Linked DNA regions of Rhinolophus ferrumequinum. The protein of the gene in region 2 purifies or fractionates together with the protein of the main gene of each other region. This does not show direct contact. Links are inferred from orthologs where the notes say so. Each region holds a gene or a part of one and is shown on either strand. Other genes may lie near its edges.

Region 1 (14,942 bases), on a different chromosome or scaffold from region 2:
TCAATTCAGTGTTTCATGAAAATCATTCACTCACCAAAAGCACCATCCAAGTAAATGAAGAGTTCAAAAACACTGAAAGCTATGGTTGTGTGTGCTGGAAAAACAATAGCTTTGTCCCTTCCCCTGGAATTCTGTTCATCCATAAAATGAAACTATATTAAATAAATAAATAAATTATATAACATTATTAAGGATCATAACATGAAATGATAGCTTTTTGGAGAAACAAAACATCCTACAATCCTACTCAAAAAAAACAAAAAACACCTCTCCAACTAAAGAATGATCCTAACTGAAATAAACTTTATAGCATAGGTCCAAATGGTCCAATGGGAACTCGTGACCTGTATTAGGAAATACCACTCACCACTTTCTCACTTACTTCAATATTAAAGCCAATGATTAGTGCTAACACAACAGTAATGATCTCTGGTATAGAAAACCTTTTCTTTCAATTGCAAACCAAGTGCATTTAAGTTCTACAGCTTTTTTTAGCCTACCCTATCTACTGTTCCAAAGTCTCCAGCGCTTTCAGGAGCTTTGCAAAGCAATCACCAACAAGTAAATGTTTCAGTACCTGCCCAAATGATCCAATGTTAATTTGGTGGGCGGCTAAATGAACAGAACCTTTATTTGCAAAGACTTGAAAAGATTATCATTGAACCCTATCGTTCTGAAAATTGATTTTAATGAAACCAATCAAGTCATTATTATTATGCATCATTATTATGTGAATGACAAAAGGACGAATATTGTAATTGAACTAATGATTACACACAAATTACTTTCAAGATTTTTAAAAAGATTTAACATTGAATGAAGCATGTTTAGCCATTGACAATATTATTTTAGAAAAAATTAATATAAAAATGTAAATTCAGCTTTTAAAAATTCAAGTATCAACTACATCACTTAAAAATAACATCAAATAATTCAACATAAGCATCTAATTTTTATTCTCAAAACAGCATTTAAGTAGTAATAGGAGGGACTGCAGTATGCACGTTATTTCACGAGGATTAGAGTTTTGTTTGCATTATATTACACATGTTTAGAATCAAAATTTTCTTGATTTTTTTTCACATTCTAAGACAAAACATTACTGTGCAAAATCCTATATATACCATTGCAGCTATTTAATCTCAACATTTGACAAAATGCATAAATCTCATTAGAAATTTTTGAAAATTCCCATTGCAGCTTTTTAGCAAGAGAAGCCTAGTGAGTGTGGTTTTACCCGCATGGCTTCCCCACGAATTCCAGCGTGCACAGACAGTGAGCACTGTCGTGTGGTTCGAATGCTTTCCATGACCACACACAAGACTGCCTTTCTGCTGCTCCTTGCCTGACGTATCAAGCTGTGGTCAAAATTAATTTTTCTAAAATAAACAAGAGAGACATTCACAAGAATCTGTAACATCTGATTACATATAATCCAGTACATTTTTCGCTATCATGTGTTTCTCATCCACGGTCCACCTTAACTAAAAGTAAATCAAGACAGGCTTGATTTACAAGCCAGGAAGTATGCTCAAAAGAAATTTAATAATCTGCTTCTCCTTTCTATTTTCTTAAGACATGCTTACTATAGGTGTCTACTGGAGAGGCTCTCTTGGCACACTTGTTGCAAGCAGATTCCTGTATTCTTTTAATCTAATAATTTTGCAAATATGTGTAGATCCAAAGCAATTTTGTGGCACAATTAAAAATTCTTTTTGAACCAAATGATTTTGGATATCTACCCTTATCCAAAGTTAGGGTATATTACTAATTTGTATTATTTCAAATAAAAAATTACATTAGTAAAATATAACCTGAGTGTTTTACTCATTCTTTATAATGAAGTTTATATAATTAAAATATTTAATGAAAACACTGAAGTATAGTAAGGATTATTATACTGACCGTGTAGTAATTTCCTTGAGTAATGTTGATACTTCCACCTCATGTTTGGTTACTACACCAAATGACGCTTTTACTGCCACAGAATCTGATCCAGTAACATTAATCCCAACATCATTCACAATATGGTTGCCTCGTCTTCCATAGAGTGAAACATCTGATTCATCCTCATAATTCAGTAACTGATAAGATGAAACACCTTTAAAACAAGAAAATTAATATTTTTCAAATGTCTCGAATTTGTCTAATTTAGATTACATGTGGTAACATGTTAATTATTTAAGGCTCAATGACCCAAATTTTGAGAAAGGCAATGTTTCAAACCAAGATTAAAAATAGCAATTCAATTAATTAGACAAGAAGAAATAGAGTACTTAAATGAACTCAAATTCTACAGAACTTCTGAAGCATCAAGATCTCCTGGGTCGTTCAAAGAAAAACAAGTGTTGGTAAGAAATAATTTGTCAAAATGTCAATTTATTTTCTAATCTGGCCTGTAATGTATTTAACATATTTTAGTTTACCAACTGTAATAACTGAATCATAAAAAATACAAATTACCTTCATCTCATTTGACCCTGTGAGATAAGTAAGACGTAATAATAGCCCCATTTTATAGGTGAAGAAATATTTATTATGTCATATTCTAAATTGATTTGGTTAAAAACAATTTTATAAAATAATTGAAATAAAATTATACAATAAATAATCTTATAAAATAGGCTTGAAAATTATTTGAGCAATGAGACTTGCTACTATTATAAACTTTAAGCACTATTAATCATGTTATTACTGCCATAGCAATAAAAGTTGCTTTTATCAATGAAAATGTGTAATTATGAACATAAGCAGTATATATAATCTATGTTTAGATTACCAATAATATAGCTGAATGAGCAGACCCAAACAGACACTAAAACTTACCAGCTGAAATTTCTCTGTCTCCTAGAAGAATATCTTTCAATGTAAAAGGTGTCGAGGTAAATTTATATCTGGGAAACAGAAAGCATCGTTTCTTTTTTACCACCAGACTTAGAGGTTGGTATTTGTCAGCCTCACTGAGGCTTGGTACCGGAACTAATCTCCCTCCATCTCCAACTTGCTTGACAAAGCTCTTGGTAGCAGCAACAAACATATTAATATGGTATCAAAAGGCGATCAACTGCAACCCTCGGATAAAAAAATCCATATTGTCAAAGAAAATCAGGCACAAAACTAAGTCTTGCTGGATTTTAAATACAATTATATATATTAAAACTACAAAGCACGGTTTCACCAAGTAGTTTACAGAGCACAGTTCACAACACTGCCTCCCTTGGTGTGCTCAGGTGTTGAATTATAGATTAACAGTGTAAAATGATATACTAAAAGTAAGTCTAATTTGGAATTGCAGTCTATAGCACTAAAATATACCCAGAAAACTAGTAATTTTAAAATACTACCAATGTCCTTAAAGAGGGTCAAGGTTAGTAGTGGCTTGCCAGTTTTGAGGGACACACACAGCCTTATGGGAAAAACTATGCAGTTTAGACACTAACATTACCGCTGGGCACCAGCTACAGAGGACCTAGTCCATAGGGAATTCCCTGTCTATTATGCCAATTTTGGCAACAGAGAAGTGCTGCTTTGAATCCTGATGGTATAGTTTGTTTGAGCATTCCATTCATTTTCCTTGTATGCTTGCAAAATGAAGTAATTAATATAAAAAGTAAATTCACAGATTATAAGCAAACAATTGTATGCTTTATAAAAAATATCTTTATAAAATACTAAATGGAAGCCACATTGCATACAATAACTGTATAAACTCAGATGTATGGGTTTCTTACTCAGGAGCTGGCACGAAGACATCTCTTTGAAAGAGGGTCCTGCTTCATTTATTTCCTTTTTGTTTCATTATTCTCATTCCAGTTACTCAACCTTTAAAGATAGCTACATAAGATTTTGGCTTGTTTCAAAGGAATTTTGTGGCTAAAAATACATTTTAGAAACAAATCTGAGGGCTGAAATATTGTATTGCCACAGTTATGTGGATGTTGTATTTTGAAATAGTGGCTATGTGGTGCTCACAAATTACTCAAAACAAATAACATTAGTGGACAGTAACTGATACTATAAAGAGGGGGTTGGGGAAGAAAGAATAGGTGTAATTCAAGCCTCAAATAATATAACCAATTTGATTAGATTCTGGACATTTTTTAAATCTGCAATCAAATATACTCGCATGCAACCTCAAAGAACAGTTTTGAGTAGTCTCTCGGTGCGAATAGGATTATGAAAAGCAATCTTCTAGAACACCGAGAAGACACACAGAGCCATTTCTGCAAGTGGCTGCAAACCCCTAGAAAAGCCACTGGACATCTAATTTCGCTGTCGGACCCCCCCCACCAAAGGTGACGCATCCTAAGCAAACCCGATTACAACCAATACCACAGGTGTGCAGAAACAGCATTTAATAGGAATCCGGCCCATTGAAAAGCCGTAGTTTACACGTAACAGGCCTAGCTGGGATCTGCGCGCCCAGCATTCACTTAGCGATGAAAGTCTAGAAGACAATGGAGCCCACGGGGAGGTAGAGGAGGGGTGTAGCCCGACGTCCCTGCGAGCTCTTAAGGGCAGGTCTCGGGGGCCGGAAAAGCTCAGCGCAGCCCTCAGGAGCTGATATACCCAGAGTCTCAAGCTTCCCGGCCAGGCCCCGGGATGCACTCTATAAATTTTGCATTTGGAATTTTGAAATCTTTTTCTTAAAGTGACGCAGCCCTCATCCTTTCCTCCGGCCCAAAAATGACTGGGCTTCGGGCCCCACAGAATCTGCGAGCCTTCCCGCCCGACAAGCCTCCTCTCCAGGCAGGAAACGGCCTCCTTTTAAAGACACAATTGCGGCTTCGACCAGGCCGGAGAACAGGGTGCCGAAACACACGGAGGCCACAGGATGGGAACCCGCTGAAGCAGAGGAAAGCCAGGGCGGGGAGAAGGGGCGGGGCCAGGCGCCGAGGCCTCCGGATGCCAGTGGGCGGGGCCGGGCAGGGAGACAGGCAGGTAGCCAGGAGAGCGAGGGGGCGTAGCCGGGAGCCCCGGCCCGAGCTGCCGCACGGAGGCTCCGCCTCCGCCCCCGCCCGTCCCTTTCGCCAGAGGGACGTAAGCAGGGAGGATAAGGGGAGCTGGAAAGGGAGAATCGGAAGGGAGAAGGCGGCGGCGGTGGCGCTGGAGTGCCCCTCTCCGGGACCGGCGGACCCGGGGAGCGAGAACGTCACTGCGCACTGTTCTTCCGCCGTCGAGCCGTCCCTTCTCGCCATGTCCCAGAGCAGGGATCGCGCCGCGGCCCTGCCGCTGGAGCACGAGGACAGCGGGACCTTCAGGTCAGCGCCGGAGAATTCCGGGCCGAGCCGAGCAAGGGACAGAGTGGCTGGGCAAGAGGGGCGGGGGCGGGGCAGCGGCTCTCGAGCGGCATTCTGGGTAAAGCCCCTTTCTGGTAAAGCCCGCCTGGGAGGCTGCGGGCAGACCCGCGGCGCGCGGGCTGGGTCTGCGGCCCGGCCCCGCCCCTTTTGCGTCCTGGGGTGGCGGGCGGCGTGGGCGGAGATGACACTGGGCCTCTTGGGAAATGGGATTTGTGGGTTTAGTCGTTTGAGGTTGCAGCACTTCTATTAGTCTACGAATCCGTCCTACCTGCATTCAAGTTACCTCCTTAAAGACCTCCCTCAACCCTGCCAGCGCGTGCCTCATGCCGGCCGCTGCGGGTCCGGGAGATGGTGCGCCTCGCCAGCTCCGGTCCTGGCCGCCGGGAGCTTCGGCGCTTTCTCCCGTCACCGTTGGTGGCGGTCAGACAGAACTGGTCTCTATGCTTCTGCTTCCCTCCCGGTTTTGATATGCACAGCACACCTTTTTCTGGTTTTTGCAGTTTGGGGAAGATGATTACAGCTAAGCCAGGGAAAACACCGATTCAGGTATTACACGAATACGGCATGAAGACTAAGAACATCCCGGTTTATGAATGTGAAAGATCCGATGTGCAAATACACGCGCCCACTTTCACCTTCAGAGTTACCGTTGGTGACATAACCTGCACAGGTCTGTATGCACAGTTAACCTTATGGACCATGCAGGTTGGCGGTCAAGATTTGGCAGCATCAGTTTAGAAAAGTGCCCTTTTTACTAGAGACAGCTATGAGGAACAGGTTCTTGAAACTGAGACCTCATCTCAGGTTATTGGGACTTTCCAACTTCATCTGATTTTTCTCCCTAGTTTTCTCATCCCCAGATACCAAGAGAAGCTCATTAACATATCCTGGGATCCTCCTAGGGTTTTTCCAAGAATTAGGGAGAAGCAGGAAAGATTCTTGAAGCAGCCATAGCTAGATCAGTAGGTGCTGTCAAGTTTTATAGTTTCGTAGAGTATAGTAGATGCCAGGAGGCATGACCCCAGAATTTTCTGAGCCTCTCTTCTTTGTGTATGGACTCATTTGCTGCGTTGGACCCATTATACCACACCCAATTCTGTATCCAAGCAGAATGAGGAAGGTGAAAGGCTTGGATACACTATATTGCATAGCAGTATTTCCTGACACTACACAGGTATTTTAATAAGCTGTTACCTCCATTTTTATATATGACAGGTTCAGAGAGATATAAGTAACACGCCCAACATCACAGTAACGAAGTTTCAGAATGCAGATTCACCTGGTTATGGTCTGTGAGTTTCATAATTAAAGCCCATTTGTAAATGTAGACATTTTATTTCTTAGGTACCTATGTAATTTCAAACAAAAAATATTGAATGCTGAATTTAATTTGGAAGAATGTCAAAAAAATTCAGCAGGAATACTGAAGTCCCACCATCTGGCAATCTGAAGGCATCATTTGTTTGTATCCCTGAAAATCTGGAGTTTGCTATTTTCATTGAAGCCACTTAACAGAAAATTTTGAAGCTTTTTGTCTGTGTAAGGCAAGTGGATTGGAAATGCTAGTTGGAAGATTCCCTATATGAACCATAGAATCAACATTGCATTACTGCTTTAATTGGACTATTTATATTTTTGATAAATTTTATTGGGGACTATTAGGGAACAGTGTGTTTCTCCAGGGCCCATCAGTTCCAAGTCATTGTCTTTCAGTCTAGTTGTGGAGGGCGCAGCTCAGCTCTAAGTCCAGGCACCGTTTTCAATCTTTAGTCACAGGGGATACAGCTCACCATCCCATGTGGGAATTGAACTGGCAACCTTGTTATTCAGAGCTTCCATTCTAACCGACCGCCCCTCCAGAAGCTCAGTAGCAGCTTGATGTCTTCAGTCTAGTTGTGGAGGGCGCAGCTCACTGACTCATGTGGGAATTGAACCGGCAACCCTTTTGTTCAGAGCTTGTGCTCTAACCAACTGAGCCATCTGGCCGCCCCTAGCTGGTCTATTTTTAAATATTCAGTGAAAATTCAAGAAAAACTAGCCTTTTACCCTTCAATGTTTTACAGACTAGAGATTGACAACCTATGGCAACCATTCTGCCGAGGCCCCTACTCTGCTCACCCTGGACTGCCCCATCTTCCTGTACAAGCTTATCTGCCTCCACAGCTTCAAATACTATCTAAAGACTGATAATTCTGAACTCTCTGTCTTCAGCCCGGGCCCAGGTGCAGAACAGTGTAGCAGCCTTTGTTTGCTGGACATCTTTGCTTGGATGACCCAAAGACACCTCAGTCTCGTTGACTCCAACTGAATCCATCTTCTCTCTCAAATCCATTTCCCCTGCTTTCCAAGCTCAGTAAAGACACCACCAGTATCCATTTGCTCAGAGTAGAAATTTGGGTCTCATCTTCTTGACTCCTTCCTCTCCCTCTGCCTCTTGTCCAGTCTGTTCCAAATCTTACTTCCTAAATATCTCTTGAATCTGTCTGCTTGTCTCGTCTTCTGTTTGGGCCACTGTCATCTTCCACTTGGATTACAGTTACAGTCATGTAGCTGTTCTTTCAGCTTTTAGTCCTGTGATGCCCATTCTCTGCACGACCACCGGAGTGTTCTTTGTGGCATTCAAATCTGTTCATGTACTTCCTCTTCCTAAAATTCATTCAGTGGTTTCCCCATAACCCTCTGCATAAATACAGATAAATACAGGTTTCTTAACACGACTTACAACCTTGCTGCTCAAAATGTGATCAGCAGCAGCATTAATATCACCTGGACACTTGATGGAAATGCAGAATATCAGGCTCCATTCCAGACATAATGGATCAGAGTATGTGTTTTAACAAAATTTACAGGCAATTCCTATGCACATTAAAGTTTGATAAGACAAATTTAGGACACTGTTCTCTGACCTCTCTCCCTACCCTCCAACTCTCTAGTTTTTTATCTCAAAATTCCTTCCCTCAAGCTCTTCCGGTACCCAACTACTTGGGGCTCTTAAGAACTCCATGCTCTGTGTTACCTTTGAGCCTTTGCTGGTGTTCTTTTCTTTGCCTAGAATGTTCTTCGTAACCCCCAGCTTTCTTCACATTACTAGCTTTCACTAATCTTTCAGGTCTTCATTTAGTTAATCTCTTCCTTCATGAAACCTTTCTGAATCTTTACCAAGAATAGACGAGCTGCCCCATTTGTATACTCCCCTACAGGCTGCACTTGAGCCTGTCATTACACATACCACTCCACATTTCAAAGGCCTATTTATAGACAAAATACTAAGGGCAGGGACTCTTGTTTAGTTCTCCACTCTATTCCTAATACCTGTGTTAGCGGATAAATGAGTACGGTTTTGTGTCCTCTAACACTTGAGGATCACACTTGAAAGGTCCCCTTTGTTTCCTCCACACCAGAGGAATGGACATGAGCATTCTGATACCACTTTCGAGGGGTTCTCAACACCTAGTTTGAACACAGAAGGAAAAAGACTGAATTTACCATTTACTAGGTGTGATTGCTTACTGAAATTTGGCATCGGTCTCAGTGATTAGTCAGGCCTATTCCTTGTCTCCCCATTAGCTACCCATGTAAGGATACAGATTGTATAGAAGACGCATAACGTAAGCTCTCACTTTCTTCCTATATAAACCTAACTAACCTCCCTTACTAAACCTAACATGTAGCCACAACTGCTTTGCCAGGCAAGGGGGTTTAATCCAGTCTAGGACAAGCTGTTAGAATACAACTGTGCATCTTTCAGTGTAGGTGGCTCCCTTGAAGGAAACTTCTTGCCACAGAAGAATTTCTCCCTGTGAATAGGGGAAGAGTAAAATACTAAATTGCATTTCTTCAGGTGTGACAGCCTACTTTTTTACCATTTTAGGTAATAAATAGACATAATGTAAACATGATGTCAATTTTTTATACAGATATGCCTAGAATTAAATACATAGAACTTGAAAAGTCATGATTTTTTTTTAATGTATTTCATGTGGTTAATATTTTAGTGTGTAACTGTATGTTATGTGTATGTTTTTATTACCTAATGTGTATATGTAAAACGTATAGTGACTTTGTTTTGTATTATGAAAACATCTATGCAAAACTCAGTTTTCACAGCATATACTTTTTTGTTGTTAACCATAATTCAGGTGAAGGTACAAGTAAGAAGCTGGCGAAACATAGAGCTGCAGAGGCTGCCATAAACATTTTGAAAGCCAATGCAAGTATTTGGTGAGCTCAATTTCTTTGTATTCTGCAGCTCAAAATTATCATGGCTGAGGTAAGATTAAAAGTTTGAATATGCTCGCAAGTGGAACAGAGTGAACAGTTGTTAGTGTTTGCTCTAACATTCTATTTCCTTGTGGAAACCTGTTATCCATTAAGGACAACTGTATCCTTAAGAAATTAAATACAGTATGAAGTGTTGAATGAATGCTCTCTTGAACTAGGTGTTGTTGTTTTTCCTGGATGGCGTGCAACAGGAGAAAACCAGAGTTTGCCTGGCAAATATCTTACTGTATTAAGACTTTAATTATTTCCACACTGAGGAAAGCAAGGTGTGAGATGGGAAAAGATTAGCGATGAAAGTACCCTGTGAGGAATTCTAATTTGGAAGGAGACAAAAAGATTTCCTTTTATTATAGCATGTATACCAAATATAAGAGGGTGTTAAGTGGGATGTTAATTCTTGACATATCTTTCCAAAATAAATTTTGTTGGTGCTTTAGTTACTTTGGAAAGAGTATTGGCCCGGGAGCATCTCATGTATCATAAGGTAGTGTCCTTCGGTTTCTAGTTGCTTCTCTTTACGTGTACTCAAGTATACTTGGGTAAATCTGGTATATCAGCTCATAGTTGACAGCAGAGGCCCATGGAAATTTAGGATGGGTTTTTTTTAGCCATAGCAAAATTTGACTTAGGGATGTATTTAGGTTCTCATGCAGTACTCCTCTGTTTTTCAAAATTATTCTAACCATTTGAATAGTTCAGAACTAACCAGTGTAAGCCTTGGATCTCACAAAATGATGCTAAATTCTCTGGGGTCATATATTGTAGTCGATTTATGCCAGTTTTCTAGATATACCAAATGGCATGGCAGGAATTGGATCTTCCCCTCATTGGTGATGGCCATGCTATTTCTGTGCAGCCCAAAGGTCAACCCAAAGTGTTAAGTATATTTGTAGAAATGACCTAGTGTCCTACCTATACATGGCACTTCATTTTGTCAGCAAAAAAGGCTAACCCACTTACTATATATTTGTGCTTCTTGACAGATAAGATGGGAATTACTAAGCTGTAATGAGGCCTAAAGTGGCCTCATTTAATACAGAGACTTTCTCACTTCTCCATCACAATTATTTGGGTAGCTTCGGCATGCAGCATTGTAAGTGAATATTCATATCTCATCAGCCTATGTAAAGCTTGAAATTGTGGTAGTTAGAAAACAAACTTGAGGAAGTGGCAATAACTGAACCTCGTTTGTCATGAAAGAGATGGTTCTTCAGTTGCCTAGGTGGTAGTAACCTTGGAATGCCACTCTTCCAGTGTCAGGCACCCATCACCCAAGTAACTAGTATTTCAAACTACTTGAAAGAGATTGTTCTCTTTTTCCCTAATCACAAGCCCCACAATCTGAAACCAGATTCATGCAGGCCACCTATTTTATGCAGGCTACATATACATCTTAGGAGGATTGTCCTAGCATAGAGCAGATAATATATCAAAGTTAGACAGATAGATAGATATAGAGATAATTCTTCCATAATTATCTGAATAAAAAAAGCTATATTTCCGATCTATATTATTCACATTGCTAGACTAAATTTTCTGACTAATTGTTAGTCTTCCATGTTTGTGTAGTTGTAACAATAGTATGCTTTATTTAAATACATTTTATTGAGCACATATTATAAAAAAAGTACTACAAGGTTTATGAAGGTAAGTGATACATAGGTCCTACCATCAAGGAATTTATAGTTATGCAGAGGAGACTCATATGAGGGATGGACAAATTATATGTATTTGTAAGAATGTATAATTTATGGTAAAATAATTTGCTTAAGAAAGGGTTACACCAGATGTTATAATGGCTCAAAGAAGGGAGAAATTATGTTCCATTGGGGTAAATAGATAGGCTTTTTAGAGGAGGTGGCATTTGAAATATACCTTGGATGATGGATAGATCAGATTTTCATAGAAGAGGAGAGAGAGAAGGGCATTCCATGTAGAAGGAACAGCAAGAGCAAAGACATAGAAGGTTAAATAGAAAGTGCTTGTCATTTATTTCATAATTGGAGGAAAATTATTTGGTTTTATAACACTTTAAAAAAATGTTTAGCTTTGCAGTTCCTGACCCCTTGATGCCTGATCCTTCCAAGCAACCAAAGAACCAGCTTAATCCTATTGGTTCATTACAGGTAAGTCGCACAGTTTTTCCTTACTTAGCATTTTGTCTACTGAAAAGAAGATGTCATAAATTGATAATATCACAGGGACAAGACAAGGAATTAGTATTTAAAGATAAGATGGTGTAATATTTTGTTTTTTTACATTATGATCATTAGATATTATAGCGCTAAGTTGAAATTATTTTCCTATTTATTTATGGATTTTCTTCCATACACAGTATCTGCCTTTGGTTTGTGGAATTCTCATTTGAGATCAACAGGACCTCAGTGCACATGCGTAGAGTTTTTTATACTTTAAGAATATTTCTTGCCACTCTTGTGACAAACCTCTATCTACTTCTATTGAGACAGAAGACTTTATAAAGAACCCAAATCGGGTAATCTCATTAAGGAATAGGAAAGTCTGTTTGCTTATTCTACCAAAAAATACATATTCAGCTTTGAATTTCTGTATGCAAAATATCCTCCTTGCCGATTATCCGTGTGCTCTGTTGGACAACTCCTGTCCCCGTTATCCAACCAGTCCTTTGGACGCTTTCCTGCTCTATGAGTTTTTCTGTAGTTTAATTCTTCTTTTCTCAGCCTCGTCCAGGTCTGTTTGTTTGCCATCTCTGCTTCTCACTTGCTCTTGATCAAATATAGTAGTCAGCCAGCTGTGGGTATGGAAGTCTATAGCTAGGAGGGGAGAGGCTGTAGGAACTGATGGCAGTGACACCTGTAGATACCCTCTCTGATGTTTCCAAAGAGGGCAGTAGTAGTTTATCTTTCCATTTGAACTTTTTGATCCCAGCTCACTATGGCTTAATGGAAGACGACCATTCATAGCAGGAGACTTCTTCAGTTTTGTAACTGTGGGCTTCTAAGATAAAATGCAGAAGTATCTGTGGGAAATATAGCGTCTTCCCTCATTTCTCCATTGCAGAATATATAACTAAATTTTCAAACATATAAGTGGGATGAAAATTGTGAAAGAGTATCATTTATGTGATTGAGCCATTGCATAGTAAAATGACTACTAAAGCCTGATGTTGATTTTCCAGGAATTGGCAATTCATCATGGCTGGAGACTTCCTGAATATACCCTTTCCCAGGAGGGAGGCCCTGCTCATAACAGAGAATATACCACAATTTGCAGGCTAGAGTCATTTATGGAAACTGGTACTTATTTCTTTTTACCTTCATATAATTTATAAACCATAATTAAAAGCATTTATTTGAGCAAAAGGAACTACAGCCTGGGAGAGACAGATTCGGGTAGCAACCTAAAGTGTGTTCCTCCGATACAAGGGGAGGCTGCCTTTTATATTGAAAATTCCTGCCCAGGTTCCCATTTAGGTCCGTTTTATGTAAATGAGGTACCCACATTGTGCAGTTCTGATTAGATGGGGCAGATCTCAGTGTGTTGGTAGAAAGAGGAAACCAGGGTTTCTCTGTAGTGATTGAGTCAGAAGGCGTAAACAAGTGAGGCATAGTGCGGGAAGCCAAGAGTTGAGTCTGAGGTTCTTCCTGGTACACAGAGGACGGAAGGAGCCCCTGTCAGCAAATGGCCTCTGGGTTCTTACTATTTATAAAATTTGGGCCCTCAGGTGACCATGGGGATTCCATCTCAGCAGATAAATTCCTTCTCCTCAAATGAATCTTTCTGCTCGGCGTCCACAAATTGAAGACATTTGAAATATTTTCAAATAATGGATGACCATAGAAATTTCTGATATCTTCTCAAATTTGTGGTTGAATTTAAGTATAAATATGTGACTTAAGAATACTTCTTAATTTGATATTTTTAAAATCGTGAGTTGTTAGAGGAAAGATAAATGAATTGACTCTTTGAGCAATCTTCATTGATGTATTAGTGACTTAAAAATCATTTGGAGAAAAGAACAATCGTAAATCTCTTGGAGTTTCAGCAGCTAATCTAGAAGTTAGGAGTATAAAAAGATTACATTTGAAAACAATATGATTCATAAGAGGCTAGATGACAAAACATCACAGTGTGATAAAAATATAGTAGAAATTATCCTTTTGAATTGTAACAACTTCTATGTTGTTAAATGCCATAAACTATGGGAAAAAAGTCACTTAATAAAGTACTAGTGAGGATTCTTATTTTAACTTCTCTAGAATGTTCTTATCATTTTTAAAGTGACTTGAAAGGGACTTTTACCTTGGCTGCATATTAGTTTTAACAACTTTTTGTTGATTAGTTAATCAACTTTTTGCCCTCCAGAGGTAGTATGGGCCAGTGCAGAAAACACTGGGCCAGAAGCAGAAACCTCAGCTTGTGTTCTTGATTCAGTCCTTAATTTGCAGGTTAGGCAAATTACTTAAACTCCCTGGGAGTTTAAATTTTTAAATCTAGAAAGCAAAAGCATGGAAGGAGATCAAATTTATGGTGTCTTTCAATTTCAGCATGTCCTATTCCCTTCTTATTTATGTTAAAGAAATTCCATATAGTTGTCAGTTTATAGAAAATTGTAAGTGAGAAATAAACATTGAGAGGAGTTGTATTTTAAATGTATCTTGACAAATTTGAATGTTTGGTCAGGATTAAACCAAATATAATTCATTAAAACAAGGCATAGAGAAATAAGCTGTTAGAGAAAAACAGAAAGTGTAACTGTTAAAGCCAAATTATTAAAAGAAATGTCTTCGAAAATGTTAATATCTGTATGAATCATAACAAGCAGAGATGTCAGGTCAGTGAAAGAATAGACTAGTAGATAAAAACCATGAGGTTGTTCTCTGATTAAATGCAATATATAGAGAAGGTGCCCAAAAAATGTGTATACATTTTAAGAAAGAAAAAACTGTATTAAAATGATGCTGATGATCATTTTGAGCACCTCTTGTAATTGCAGAAGTCAAACGTGACTTGTATTCGTCTTTTCTTATTGGTATACATTGAGTATTACAATTTTAATAGTTTTTTCCTTTCTTAAAATGTGTGTACATCTTTTTGGCGCAATCTGAATTTGATCATCCTCTATGGACACTAATTTCTTTTCTGAACCTACCTTTTTTTTTTTTCTTTATTTAGGAAAGGGGGCATCAAAAAAACAAGCCAAGAGAAATGCTGCTGAGAAGTTTCTGGCGAAATTCAGTAATATTTCTCCAGAGAACCACATTTCTTTAGTGAGTGATGATCATACAGCTGTGATGTTAATGTGATTAAGTGTCTCTTGCTGTAGGAAACTTTCCTAGATTTCTTGTTATACAGATACTTCAGAGTTGCAGTTTTTAAAAA
Region 2 (14,942 bases):
CACCTAATTTAGGTTGTTCTATTACTAGTTCATATATTTTTTATCAATAAAATCCTGTATTTTCCTTAAAACACCCAAAATTGTATTTGGTCAAAGATTAACAAACCACTTAATTATACAGAATGAAGATTTAGAAATTGGGTATTTTTTCGTCTGTTCAGTGTTTAGCTATACAAGACTGAAAAGGGCTAGGTAATCTCAGTACAGTGTTATACGTGAAATAAAAGCTTTCAAAATTAAAATCCGGGGTGCCTACTGGGCACCTTCCTTCTCATTAATAGTACCAGAGGCCTCTCAATGGGTTATTTGAGCTTCATCATTTTGACTTTGGACAGTTTGTCAGATTCTCAATTCATTAACAAACATTTACCAAGCTGTACCAGATGCAGAGATAGAGGATGAAAGACTCAATTGTCTGAAAGATTCTGCCATCCATTCAAGGAAAAATCTGCCTTCATCTACTTTTTAAGACTATTTCCCAGAGTTTTCACCTTACTTTTCCTGCTCAGAACATCTCACAATTCATCATGTACTGTCTTTTGGTCACTATACATACAAACTTGAATGCACAGCAAATGGCAGTCTCTCTTTTCCATGTCTCGTGTTTAGTTTAGATCCTCAGCTTGAAACGGAGAGGTCCCTGACTGATATGGGTGCTTCAAAGACTACACATTATAAGACAGCCTGAAGGCTCGTAAATATTCTCATTTTACTAGTGAGAAAATTAAAGCTAAGTCTAGAAAGGCCAAGGTGACCTTCCCTTAACACCTGGCTAGTTATTCAGAAGTAAAACTAAACCAGAACACAGGTTTCTTAACCACTCATTATTTTACACTGTTCATTCGGTTCCACCAATCATACGGAACTCATGCCTCAATTATCCGGCATTTTGCTGCTGTTCCTTAGTTAACCTATTACTTGTCTTTATCGGTGTAGATATAGCCTAAAAGTCAAGTATCTATGGATAGCGTTAGGGGGAGTCCCTGTACCTCCTGTAATTTTATACAGGATTATGAATATGTACATTTGGGGGGATAAGATTCATATCTTTCATCAAATCAGTAGTCTCCAGAGTAAAAACCACTGGCCCACAGCAAGTGCATCTGACACAGATAAAAAGTTCAGACTGGTTCAAAATAGAGACTCGAGGATGATGCCTTTATTCACACATAATAGAAGAATAACCTAATGGTATCTGGGGGAGTTAGCAATATCTAAGGCACCATTACACTTGGTATCACTAAAATAGTTGGACCAGTGGATCCAGTATAGAGAGAGAATCCCTGATATAGAAAACTAGTGTGTGGACTATTGCTCTCAAGGCCCTCTTTTCTTTTTCATCTCCCACTATAGATATATTCGACATACATCTCAGTAAGAATTCATGGGGAAATAATTGTGATATAATCTAATCACATTGAGACTCTAGCATGCATATTTAAATTAAAAATATCAGCCCAATTTTATCAAATGGTAGTTATGTGCCAGAATTAGGTTACGAGCTTAATAAACTATTTTTTTCCTCACAACTTCACGTAGGTACTAACTATTCTGACGCGTTTACCAGTGATGAAGCTGAGACTCAAAGGGGCTGCCACACACTCATGTTCCTCAGCTATAAGCTGGAGGGATGTGAATATGAACCCTGGTCTCTCTGACACCAAAGGCTTGTTCTGAAAGATCCCTATGGCGTTATAAGAAAATATTAATATTTAATTTTGCAAAGTTGAAAAAGCTTAAAATCCCACTATTTGAAGCTACCCAGGAGTGAAGGTCGTGCAGCAGGAGGCCTAAGCAGAGGAGAGGCCATTCAAGTCTTTGGGGCCATGATGCTCGTCTTGCCCTCCTAGGCTGTTGCCAATAAAAGGAAGACAGAAATGCTGGAATCTCAAAATATCAGAGAAGTCTGCTGCCTTTCTTTTCCCCTTCAAATAGGGTTATTGATCTAACTCCTTAACCAAAGAAGCTTTCTACATCATTTCAAGATCAGTTTTTAAATTGAAATCCTCCTCAAAAAATTTTAATTAAGATCCTCTCTTGATTTGCTGACATTTTCCACCCCCCAAAGAATTTCCAAATGTGTTTTTCAAATCCCTACTTTATTGCACACATTGAGCTGTCACCTAAGAAAGAACCACTCTCAGGGTTAGCCTGCTTCAACAATGAGAAAGCCTAAAATACCAGTAACAACACCCCAATTTTTATAGCCATTTTCATCTATGAAGTTCGTAACACTTGTCTTGGTCTGCAATGTTTGTAGGCACCTACCTAATCATTTGCCCATCGTATGGAGAAGAACCAGGCAGCATGATCTGTCCGAAATCAAAACAGTAACGATCTTTTTCAGAGCTTAACATACAAGCAATGTTATTCTCTATAAACCCGTGTTAGCTTCTAAGCACTTCAAAAATGAATATAGACTAACTTATTCACTCAACAAATCTGAGCACTTTCTGTATGCCAGGCACTGTTCTATTCTATCCTTACTCTTCTATAAACCGTAACACAGTCATTTAATGTCACTACAAGCTTCAAAAATCAAAACACTAAAACCAAAATTTAAGTCTTTCATGTTTTATTTCTAGTAAGTCTTACTGGCATCCTCAGACAATGTTTTCTTGTGGCATCTTTTAGTCACATATTTAGAATGCATAGAATCTTTACTTATTACAGGACAACCAACAACTCATCGACAATTTTAAATAACTAGGAAAGCCACTTTGTACTCGGAACTTATTTTAACAAAGGTCTTCCTACACGACTGAAAATTTCAATTTCATCAGCTCGACCTCAAAAATACAGGTGCCCCTCAAAAGACACAGCTCTGCTTATATGTGGATTTTTTTCAATAACCAGTACTGTTTTCTTCTATCCATGGTTGGGAGTCCGTGGATGGAGAGGGCTGACTCTATCTATACACTAACCTACACCATTTTATACAGGGACTTGAGCACCCACGGATTTTGGTATTCGTGGGGGCCCTGGAATGAATCCACCTCGGATAGCAAGGGGCAACCTAAGTTTTGGGGAGTCAAAAGGTATTAGATTTTTGACTGAGCGGGGGTCAGCACCCCTTAACCCCCACATTGTTAAAGGGTCAACTGCAATGCTTTCTCTCTGTACTCATTCACCAGATATATACCACCACCCAAGCAGTCTCACTTTTTAGGCCAACACACATTCCCAAAGACGAGCAGAGAGAATTTAGAAAAATCTAACTATCTATACTGTCCAGAAAAGAGATAATCTGTGAATGAATTGTCAATTGGCATCTGTCAAAAGCCTCAATGAGACAAATGATATTTCATTTGTCATCTGAAAGATAAATTAACTAAACTCTAATAAATCAAGTCACCAGAACAATGTCCACCTATGTTATTAAAGTTTTTCTATTATGCCTGAGGCTTTTATCTGGTTTCTCTACAATGGCATGTGAAAAATGTTTCTCTATCATTTGTAAAATGTAAAACATTTTCTTCATATATTGTTAATGTCATTTCATGTAAGAATTCAGACAACTATGTATTCTTCAGACAAAAGTCTGCCACTCCTGATTAATCGGTATACTTCCTCCCATGAATCAATGCCTACATGATTTGTACAGTTTCCTCTTTTGCTTTGACTAATAACTTAAAAATAAAAATAAAAAGCTTTAGTTACATGCAGATGGCTGAGCTATCCTTGCCCTAAGCTTCTCATTCCATTCCCTTCAGCCTCCTCCACTCAACCTTTACTATTTTCACAGTCCTCTCAAACACCTGTCTATTATTACAAGATCAAGGCAAATCCTTTCTCAAAGAAGACAAATAATAAAACGTATACATCCATTGGGCTTTCAGAATGAGCTAAACTCTTGAATGTCCAAAAAGCAGAGCACAAGGTGAACAAGATAAATCACTTGGCTCCATTACGATTTACACAAGTTAAACACGACCTTACCAGTACCTTCCTCCAGCATCCAAAAGAGCACGACACAGCTCTGTGATGGATCCACTGAAGGAATTCAGTGATTTGAATATCCACTTGCCAGACACTGATAGGAACATAAAAATGAGTCAATCCCGGGCCTCAAGGAGATTAAAGTCCTTTATTGACACAGAAGGAACCATTTGTAGGAAAGTGTACATAACTGTGTGAACAGCCCTGAGAAAACTCATATTGCAATAAATTCTGAGTCTAGTGCTCTGATGATCAAAAAACAATCTGACCACTTCTGGCCATGTACCCAAAAGTGAAAGCAGGGACTCAAACAGGTATTTGCACACTTAGGTTCACAGCAGCATTATTCACAAAGCCAAAAGGTGGAAGCAACCCAGGTGTTCACCTATGAAAGACTGGATAAATAAAATGTGGTTTATACATACACAATGAACTATTATTTGGCCTTAAAAAGGAAGGAAATCCTGGCACATGCTACAGCATGAATAAATCCTGAATGAATGACCCCTGAAGATGCTAAGTGAAACATGCCCAGTCACAAAAAGACCAATATTGTATAATTGCACTTATGCGAGGTTCCAAGAGCAGTCAGATTCACAGAAAGAAAAAGTAGAATGATGGTTGCCTGGGGCTGGGAGGAGGGCAAAAGGGAAGACTATGTTAATGGATACAGAGTTTCAGTTAAGGAAGAGAAGATGAAAAAGTTCTGGAGATGGATGGTGGTGATGGTTGCAAAACAACGTGTGTACTTAATTATCACAAAACTGTACACTTAAAAGTGGTTAAAATAATAAATGTCATGTATATTTTACCACAAAAAAGGGGGAAAATCTGAAATATTCAGAGAGAGATCACCTGAACATTTAAGGTTTCACAGTTTCATTCATTCAACAAGTGTTAACTAAGGACTTAACTACAGGTTATACAGGTTTTTCCCTGAAAATCCACTTGGGAACAGCAATGCTACTCAACAAAAAGAGCACACATGCAAGGATTCTGAAATCAAACCATGACAATCCGGGCTCTGCCACTTCTAGACTCATAACTTGAGGCAATTATCTCTGAGTCTTAGTTTCCTTGCATGTAAAATAAGGACAATATCTCGGCCACAATGAGGATTAAACGAGAATGTATATAAAAGCACCTGCAACATCTTGGCACATAAGGAGGCACTTCTTATTAATAAATGCTCCCCTTCTCTCCTTTGCCACAAGTAATGACCACAGGATGTTAAAGTCACAAGTGAGAGACTGTGCAATACCTACTTTCTCAAATGAAGCAAGCATCTCACATGTCAGACAGTGGCAGGGAATAAGTATCGCAATGCCATAAAAATCATCCTTCCTAGAAGGTGGCACTAGAAGGTGGCACTACACTTCAGGTACCACCCACTATGTAACACCACAAAATCACTATCAAATGAGATCATGAGCCACATCAAAATAAAACGTCTTCTAAAACCAAGACAATAAACTCAGCAATCACAAAGCAATCTCACTATGCAGTTCATACACGGGGCCACAAGCATTATACAGAAGGCAGAACTTAATTAATCTTTATTGATGAGACAGTAGAATAAAAAGTAGAGCAAGCCGTTACTAAAATAATTGCAGGAAGACTTTTCTCCCCAAATTAAATTTAACTAATACATCTTTTCATAAAACGGCATTTTGATGCCATGAATAAATCTGTAAGCCAACATTACCATTTAAATGCTTATTCCGTGACATATTAAAAGCAATCATTAGTGTTTCTAATCTACAAAGTTTTATAAAATATGGCCGAAGATGAAGTTTTGAAAATAACTGTGTGTATAGATATGGCATATATTACATCCAATACACTCGTGCCACAGGTAGCTAGTGTTAAAGACAACACTTGGCAAAATAAACTGATTATTCCAGAACCTAGTTCCTAAAGATATTAGCAATACTAAAGTTATTATTCACTAGCAGCCTCATTCAGAATCATGTACCATCATCCATGTAATAAATTATTGGATCTCTTGGTAAGATCGCTTTTTTTTTATTTAGAAAATTTAATGTTTATACCAATACAGTTCCACTTTAGTTAACCTTTTATTAAAACACATTGAAAATATATAATTTTCCAAGTTACTTAACTCCTTACTTCTGCCTTTTTCCAGTCACTGAGTTGCTGCACTTGAAAACTAAGCAACAAGAAGACAACTGAAAATCGTAACTGTAAAAATTCGGAAAATTCAAAGCACCTCAAGAAACACACACTTTAAAGTAATACCCTTTAATTGGATGAATGTTTTTAAACCGCGCTAGTCATAAGAACACTCAGACTTATACGGATCAGTAACGCCTCCCTTTTAAGCACGACTTTCTTCACAAAAGCACTGACTGAACACTATCCAGCGAGGATTCCCCACTCATCCCTGTTTTTGCAAATCTTCAGGCTGTTAAAGATACACTACGTGGTTTGTTAGCTCTGTATTGCGGGCAAAGCCATTGGGGCAGCTCAGCTTTTCCAGGTAATCTATATAAATCTGATGTGCTAACTTAAAACATACACTGATTTCCCAAAGATTAAAAACCCTTTGCAGGATCCAGACGTTCTGGCACAAAAACCTGGGAAGGGTGGAAAGATGGCCTCGGCCACCCGCCCCCTGGGACCCAGACCTGGTCACCTGCCAATAAACATGAACAATCCTCCCACTGCTCCCCGGGAGGGCCCCGAAGGCTCGCGCTTTCCAGCCAGCACGCGCAGCCCGGCTTCCTCCCCTCCCAGCTCTTTCCAAGGTGTCCACTGAGGCCCAGCGCAGTGGCCCCCACCACCGCAGGTCCCAGGATGCTCCCGAGACCCCGCTGCAGATCCCGCACCACTCCGTGCGCGTACCCGGACCTGTCAAACCCCTGGGGCAGGGCCAAGCGGTGAGGGCGCGCTCCCCTCCGCGTGCGGAGGCGCCCGCGTCCCCAGCCAGTGCCGGAGCGACCGCACAAAGTCCCTCCAAAGCGGCGAATCAGGAGCGGCGCCAGGGTCGGGGGAGGCGCAGAGCCCCGCGGGTGGACGCCGGCCCCGCAGGCCGCGCCGCCCGGGACCAGAAGAGGCCGCGCCATCTGCTCGCGCCGTCTCCGCCCCGCGGGCCAGGCCGGAGCGCGGGCCCAGGGCCGGGACGCCCACGCGGGCCCGGGCGCCGAGGCGGGCGCGGAGCCGGGCGGAGCCGCTCCCCGCCCCGGACACAAAGCGGCTCCGCGGGAGCCCGCCTCACCTGCAGCACGGGGCGCCGCGGGCCTTCGAGAACCATCGGACCCCGCTCCGACGCGCGCGTCACAGCCCAGGCCTCCCGGTGCTGCCCGGCGCCGCCGCCGCCGCCGCCATTTCCTCCCGCTCGCCGTCGCCTCGTCCCCGCTGTCAGGTTACTCCATTCACCTGGGCCTGGAGCAGCCTGTGCCGCGCCGCGCCTCCGCCTCGACCCCTCCCGCCGGCGCCTGCGGAGACTGCGCAGCGCCCGGCTCGTCCGCAGCCCGCGCACGGCCCGCGGCAACGGCGCACCGCGGCTTGGAGAATCCCACCGGCGCCCGCGCCGCCCCCTCCGCGCCCCCACGCTCCGCTCGTCCCGCACCGGCATGAGAGAGAGCCTGTGATTGGACAGAGTGTGGCGGTGAAAGGTTAATCCCGGCCCCCCAGCCACTCAGGAGCCAGGAGACAGCGGACGCGGCGGCGGAGGCCGAGGCGGCGTTTGCGGCCCAGCTTTTGGCCGGGACCCGGGCGTTCGACCGCCGCGGCCCCGCGCCTTTGCGACCCTCGTGGGCCTGCGCGCCGAGGTTGCGGACACTCGCTTAACTTGGCAGAACCTCTTGGCTCATGGAATTCGCCCGCCTCCATTGTTGCCCTTTCTGGCACCCACCGCCCTCTGAACGTGGCCCTGCCCCACAGCTGTAATTGTTCTCCGGAGGGCTCGGCGTCCGTTTTCCACTTCCCAACCCCTATTTCAAGGACCTTCCCACTTGCCTGCTTTTGCTCCGCATTAGTGGTGCGGGGCCCAACGCATTAGGCGAGACGACAGACCCCACCTCCTTCCCCACACCCCGGAGCTGGGATAACCAAATAACTGAGATGGGGACAGTGGCCCCACTTATGTAAATTGTTCATTTGCATAGGTTGCAACCGTGTACCATACCTCACAGCTGTGAATTAAAATATGGAGGCCAAGTAAGTGGCTGGCTTAAAGAAAATCCTATTCATTTATGCCAAAATGTAGACATCTCTTCCAGAGGACTCACCTGACAGGTTTACTCCAGAGGAGGTCTGGTAACAGCAACCATGCTTCTGCTCTCAGGAGTTAGCACTTAGCAGCACCTACTACGCGCTAGACACTGTCTAGGGCTGCACTCTTCAATACAGCGGCCACCAGCCTTACGTGGCTACTGAGCACTTAGAATATGGCCACTCTCTGCTGAGACGTGCTAGTCGAACTCAGATGTATGTGTTCTTTACCAGAAAAGAATGTAAAACATCTAATAATTATGTTGGTTACATGTCGTAGTGGTATTATTTTTAATGTATTGAAATAAATATCAGTTTCATCTTATTTTTTTAATGTGAGTGCCGAATGAATTTTAACGTTTCATGTGACTCGCGTTATATAATTTACTGTTGGACAGGCTGGTGTAAATAAGCCCGTGATCTTTACGTGGACCCTGTGAGGTAGGTGCTGTAATTGCTGCCCCCAACACACATACACACTATTAAAATGAAAACCTCCAGCAAGTAAACTAATAAATGAACAACTGAGATTTGAACCCAGGTATTCTGGCTTGGAGCTGATGTGCTCAGTCATTACTGTGCTCAAATTTTGATCATATATTTACTGTAAATTGGCTTGTAGGTTTCACTTAAACATAGAATGTTCATGGGTAAAATGAGGAAATAGTCAGAATGCTCTTGGCAGACTTCCATAGAAAATGTTTCTTATATTCCAAGCACAGTGGGAAATAGATCTCTCCAGTAGTATACAGAAAGGCTTTGGAGCCATAATCCTTCATGGGAGGATGGCATCTCAGGATGGGAACAGGTATGGGGGTCCACTAGCAATGGGAATTTGTGGGCAGGTTAACACTTTCAGGCCCTCCTGCTGTCCTCCCAATCTGTCAAAACTAGCTGGGCTTCTCCATCCACAGCTTTCTCTGATTTTCATCAAGTTAAACTTTTTTTTTAAATAAATAAGCACATATATACTATGTGGCTTGTCCATCAGAAACCATTAAAAAGTATACAGTAAAAATTATCTCTCCCCCGACACCTGTCCCCATGCCCAAACATGTAACCACTATTTTTTTGCTCCTTCTAGAGCAATTCTTTATGCATGTACAAGCCCAGGACGTTCCTCAATTTACAAAAATAGTGGTATGCCATACACATTTACTGTGCCTTGCTTTTTATTACATAATATATCAAGAAGATATGTGTATAGCAATATATACAGAGCTCCTTGCTTTTTTTTTTTTTTTTCCAATTCCCATAACATTTTATTGCAGGGCTATCCCATTATTTAACCAATTATCTATTGATGGACAGTTAGACTTCTAGTCTTTTGCAATTAAACATTGATCCACTTGGAACTGATTCCATACAAGGGATGTGGTATAGATCGAATTTTTTTTTTCCAGATGGCTACACAGTTTGCTATTTATTGGCCATTTGTTGAAGAGTTCACTTCTAGACTCTATTTTGTTCCCATGGTGTATCTATTCCTCCTCCAGTTGCTGGTTTATTTTAAATCTGGAGACATAAAATCTTGTAAGGGATAGTGTTTCATACTTTGTTTAGATCACTAGAAATCTTAGAGCTAATATTTCAGCCCATATTAAGCAGCAGTACAGTTCCATGTGGTATGCATTTTCTGTGGGCTAATTTTTATTTTCCCTTTGCCCTGATTATATTCCACAATTTGTTTCATTTTTTTTTTTTGGTAGAACAAGCCAGGATATAAATAAATATACCTTTGTTTAAGACTCTCTGTTTGCAAGTAACAAACCAATCTTAACCAAAAGGGAAGAATTTATCATAAGGATGTAGGAGTTTCTCACAAAAGCCAGGAGCAGAAATACAGCTGCATCATAGCTAGGGCCTACAACCAGTGATTGAAAAGCTTCCAGGAACCCGAAAGATAACTCTTCATGTCCTTCTGTGACATTTTTCCTTTGTTTTCTGCTTCATCTGTGCATCTCTCTCTACTAACTTCTTTTCTCTGCTTTACAACTAACACTGAAGAATACAGCCACCCCGTATTTATCTAGGAAGTCAGGCCAGTGTCGGGGTGTGAGCCCAGAAAGGGAAGGAAGGACAGCCATCCTGTAAAGTCAGGTGACTGATTATACAGGGGGGCTACACAAAGGAAAAACTATTGAGGATAATAGCAGCCAGCTTTCTCACTTTTGGAGAAGGGGTTACAAATACAAAAAGAAGAAAAGCAAGAAGGCTTGAGTGATTGGATGGGAATTGAGATGTCGATGTGAATTCAAGGTTTTTCAATATATATATATATATATATCTATTAAATAAATACAAATGTAAAAGTATCATATAGATGAGCTTAGAACATCTTGTGCCAGAGAGTATGAAAATGCTCAAAGAATGATGAAGACAATTCAAAGACAAAGCAGTCATCTTGAAGGGCCTCCTGCTGGCCAAATCTGAGACAACTTTTGAGCATCAAAATAAATTATGACAATACAATATATCCCATGCATATGGATATATCCATGAATCTACACTGATTTTTTTTAATGAATAAATAAATCGAAAGAAGAAACAGCTCTTCCTTTGAGTAGAATTCAACTGATAACTTTGGAAGGAATAATGGAATTGGAAAATCACCATTTGGCAATCATCAGCCAAGAAATATCAATGTTTACTAAATCTAGTGGGTAAAAGTTGGACAAGGAATGAGATAGTAATATAGTTTCAAAGCATCTCCCCATAAAATTATTATTTTAAAAAATGAGAACTTTACAAAAGAGAATCTAGCAGATACACCACCTTACTCAAGTATTCAAAGTTAACTGTCATGCAAGGAGTCACAGACAAACCCCCCAAGGCCACATGGTACATCTATAATGTGGGATTTATTGGGGGAAACTTACATGCAGAGAAGTGGGAGAATGAACACCGTCCCTTTAACTTTCATTATTACACAACATAGGCCAAGCACAGCTCTTGACCACGACCAAGGTTTCAGCAAGACAAGGCCTGCCTCTGCCAGCAACCAAGTAGGTGTACAACAGACAGAGACAGAGCCCAAGACAGAAGTGGGCCCCATCCCCACACTGCATTACATATTTATATGTTGGCCTAATTGGGGGTGGAGAATTTCTAGTTTCTCTAAATAACAAGAACTACGACAAGGGAACTGCTATGATGGCAGATGCATATGGATGGATATTGGGCCACAAAAGAAGGGGAGCCTAACAGTCCATGGGGGGTCAAAGAAGTTCTTCCTAAGTAAGGAACCCACGTAAGCTGAGACCTAAAGTGCTAGTGATCAAGTAAAGGGTAGGGGACTTCCACGCAGAAGGCCCAGGATGCCCAAAGCCCAGAGGCAAGGAGGTGTGGGGGCTCATTCAAAGAACTGAAAGAAACCCAGTGTTGACCCAACCATAGAGCAAGCGATAAGGAGACGGGGAAATGACACCAGAACGGAAAGAACTTATGTATCATGTTAAGGATTTGCTGTTTCATCTCAAAGACGAAGAAGCCATATAAAGGTTTTTAATCAACAGGTAATGTGATCAGATATACATTTTTAAAAGTGAACTCCAGCCCGTGAGGAAGAACAAAATTAAAGTGTTCATTTGCAACAGTGTAAAAGATAAGGTAGCTTTGACGAGGATAGTCAAGGGGAGAGAGATATAGCTGATTTAGATATATTAGGAGGGTAAAAATGTGACTCTTTTATAGTTCCAGTTTCAAGGCCACCAAGACTATTTTCTAGAAAGTAGAAGGTACAATTGGGGTAGAACATTGCCAGGGACCAGAGTTTTGCAATCTGACCAATGGGTCTTATTAAATGTAATTAAGATGAGGCGTCTTTACCGCGAGGCAAAACTTCTTTTGTTATTATTTTGCTCTGTAACAAAATATTAAAGCAGCTAACCATGAATCTTAATCTTCTCAAATAGCATTTTCAGTTAGAATAAAATGTAGAGAAAAAAAAAATACGCCAGTCAGGCACCTTCAGTACCGCTTTTACTGTCCCAGATTATATCACGCCTCTCTCAAGACTTGAGTAAAATTAACTCAATATTTCGTGGCATCTCTTTTTGGGGGGTGATTTTTAATTCAATCATGTTTTTTCCCCCTCACATCAGTACTGAATCCCTGAGGCTTGTTTAATTTAGAACTAAAGAACCCTGACCTTCAAACGATACGGTATTTTACAAGGGCAAGTTATCTAAAACGACTTTCTGCTTTTCCCAGTACTCTGACTAGCTCTCCTGTGGAGTTGCAGTATCCTTTCACTCCTACAGGGGAAAATAAAACAACAGAAAAGATTACAGCCATGTGGTGAGCGTATCAGTGTCACAGTATTTGACTGGTTTTTCCCCGCAATTGGAATAAAACAATTTCCCCGTACCTTAGCATCAGCTTTTTCATTTGGAAAAAGAGTGTAATCTTGATTTATATTGAATTGTTGCTCAGTAAACAACATTCAGGCAGCATTCCTACTTATGCTAAACAAATTTTTAAAGAAGCTTGGCAGTAACAAAACCAAGTTTGCCTACATATTTTTAAATGCAGTTAAACAGATCTGTAGACTTTTAAATTGGTTTTAAGTAGCTTTATTATCCATTTCTTCTCTCCTCACTACATTCCCCACCCCATTCATTTTCCTAGACAAATGAAACTTATCATTTTTTTCTTAGTTCTCATGCTCCAGATATCCTTCCATCCAATTCTCTTCCGCATGTTGCATGAGGCAAACAAATCAGAATAAGGCAACTGCCAGGGTAGCTCCCTGCTGTGGTCTGAATATTTATGCCCCTTTCTCCGACCCCACCCCCGCCCTCCCAATTTCTGTTGAAAATACATTGAATACCCAAGGTGCTGGTGTTTGGAGGTGGGGCTTTGGGGAAATGATTAGGTCATGAAGCTGGGGCCCTCATGAATAGGATTAGTGCTCTTTCTTTCTTTTAACATAAAAAGATACACATGCTTTACTTAAACTATACCAGGAAGATACCAAATTTCAAGATAATGCTATCATACCTCCCAAAACAATAGAAACCTTATTTTCTATTTTTCAGAGGGTTTTAATTGTAGGCTCTGTTGTACCAATGCGTATCTCTGCTTTAAAGATTTTAACTCTAAAGTGGGGACCAGCTTTGGGAGAAAATATGAAATAGGGTCATACTCAAGGGGCGGGCAAAGCAACAAGACAGAAGGAACCTGGGCCTGGACAACATAGACGTCCTGCCTGCCTCGGGACTGTTACATAGAGAGAAATAAAATACAGCCATTGTCTTTTTGGGTTTCTTTGTTGCAGCAGCTTAGACTAATAATGCTCCCAAATCTCTCCCCAGCCAGGAAAGGAAGCTGTTGCTTACTGAGGGCACCAGGTCTCCATGTTCCAGGATGTCTCTCTTTCAGATTCTAATGGCAGCTCCTGGCGCAGGAGCTCACCTGTGGAGAGACGTATAAATCTGTATTTTTCCACCAGTTTTTCACACTGCATACCTTTGCCAGAGCCAGAAGTCAGAAAAGAAGTCATGTATCAAACATGTATCCCAAGTCTGTTGCCTCATTTTTGACTATAGTCACCATGGTGGGCAAGCCTCGGGGCTTCATTCACTGAGCACATATTGAGCACTTACAATTTACCAGAAGCCGCGTTGGGAGATGTGGGTAGAATGAAGAACGGGAGCTAGTCCTTGCCCTCAAAGAGCTCACTGTCCATGGACAGTGGAGCAGGTGCTACAGACAAATAACAAGTGGTTACTAGATGTGGTCTAGTGGGGAGGAGTTCAGGTTGCTAAAGGGGTCGAGGGGAGGGGTACAGGACTCCTTATTGGTAGAGATGCAAGACAGAGGCAAGTTCCCTGGGGAACTGAACCCGCTCATTGTGCAAAGCACCGACCACATTGAGCACATCGTGGGTGCTCAGCAAATGCTAGCTGTCAATTTTTAAAAGAAATTGTTTCCATTTTCAAACAATCACCAACTTACAGAAGACTCATGAATACAAAAAACTTTCTGGAACATTTGAGAAGAAGAAGTCCCAGAGAGCTTGCTTGCCCCTTCTGCCACGTGAGGACACAGTCAGAAGTCCACAGTCTGCCTCCTAGAGGAGGGCCTTCACCAGAATCTGACCGTGCGGACACCTTGATTTTCGACTTCCAACCTCCGGAACTGTGAGAAATACATTTCTTTTATTAATGCCAGTCTGTAGTATTTTGTTATAGCAGCCCGGACAGACTGAGACACTCTCTGTGTACGTCTAGTCTCTGGGTGCACTTTGGCATGCAGTATGTATTAGTTTGCTAGGGCTGCCATAACAAAATACTGCAGACTGGGTGGTTGAAACAATAGAAATGTATTTCCTCATGCAGTATGTATTAGTTTGCTAGGGCTGCCATAACAAAATACTGCAGACTGGGTGGTTGAAACAATAGAAATGTATTTCCTCACAGTTCTGGAGGCCAGAAGTCCAGGATCAAGGTGCTGGCAGGCTTGGATTCTTCTGAGGCCTCTCTCCTTGGCTTACAGAGGGTCACCTTCTCCCTGTGTTTTCACATGGTCTTTCCTCTGTGCAGCCACATACCTCACGTCTCTTTCTGTGTGTCCAAATTTCCTCTTCTTGTAAAGAACTAGTCATACCCACCCACACTTACTCATTTTACCTTAATCAGCGCCTTAAAAGCCCAATTTCTGTTGGTGCCCAATCTCCAAATAAAGTCACCTTCTAACGTCCTGGAAGTTAGGGGTTTGGCTGATGAATTTTGCAAAGACACAATCCAGTCCATAGCACTATACAA

Evidence for each region.
Region 1: the proteins of DICER1 (region 2) and PRKRA purify together in Homo sapiens (co-immunoprecipitation; 4 studies listed by BioGRID and IntAct, with this or other methods). This does not show direct contact. The link is inferred for Rhinolophus ferrumequinum from reciprocal best matches to the Homo sapiens genes DICER1 and PRKRA.

The regions. Positions count from the first base shown.
Region 1 is NC_046291.1:47,476,712-47,491,653, forward strand, and holds the start of PRKRA (interferon-inducible double-stranded RNA-dependent protein kinase activator A), read left to right. Parts: upstream 1-4,930; 5' UTR 4,931-5,196; coding exon 5,197-5,261; intron 5,262-5,568; exon of another isoform or gene 5,569-5,577; intron 5,578-5,800; coding exon 5,801-5,970; intron 5,971-9,439; coding exon 9,440-9,521; intron 9,522-10,564; exon of another isoform or gene 10,565-10,674; intron 10,675-11,628; coding exon 11,629-11,707; intron 11,708-12,738; coding exon 12,739-12,856; intron 12,857-14,735; coding exon 14,736-14,830; intron 14,831-14,942. Other genes in the region: PJVK (pejvakin), read right to left, coding at 35-152, 1,238-1,379, 1,906-2,101, 2,827-3,037. UniProt on the Homo sapiens protein: Activates EIF2AK2/PKR in the absence of double-stranded RNA (dsRNA), leading to phosphorylation of EIF2S1/EFI2-alpha and inhibition of translation and induction of apoptosis.
Region 2 is NC_046289.1:8,181,565-8,196,506, reverse strand, and holds the start of DICER1 (endoribonuclease Dicer), read right to left. Parts: upstream 7,358-14,942; 5' UTR 7,339-7,357; intron 7,317-7,338; exon of another isoform or gene 7,178-7,316; intron 1-7,177. UniProt on the Homo sapiens protein: Double-stranded RNA (dsRNA) endoribonuclease playing a central role in short dsRNA-mediated post-transcriptional gene silencing.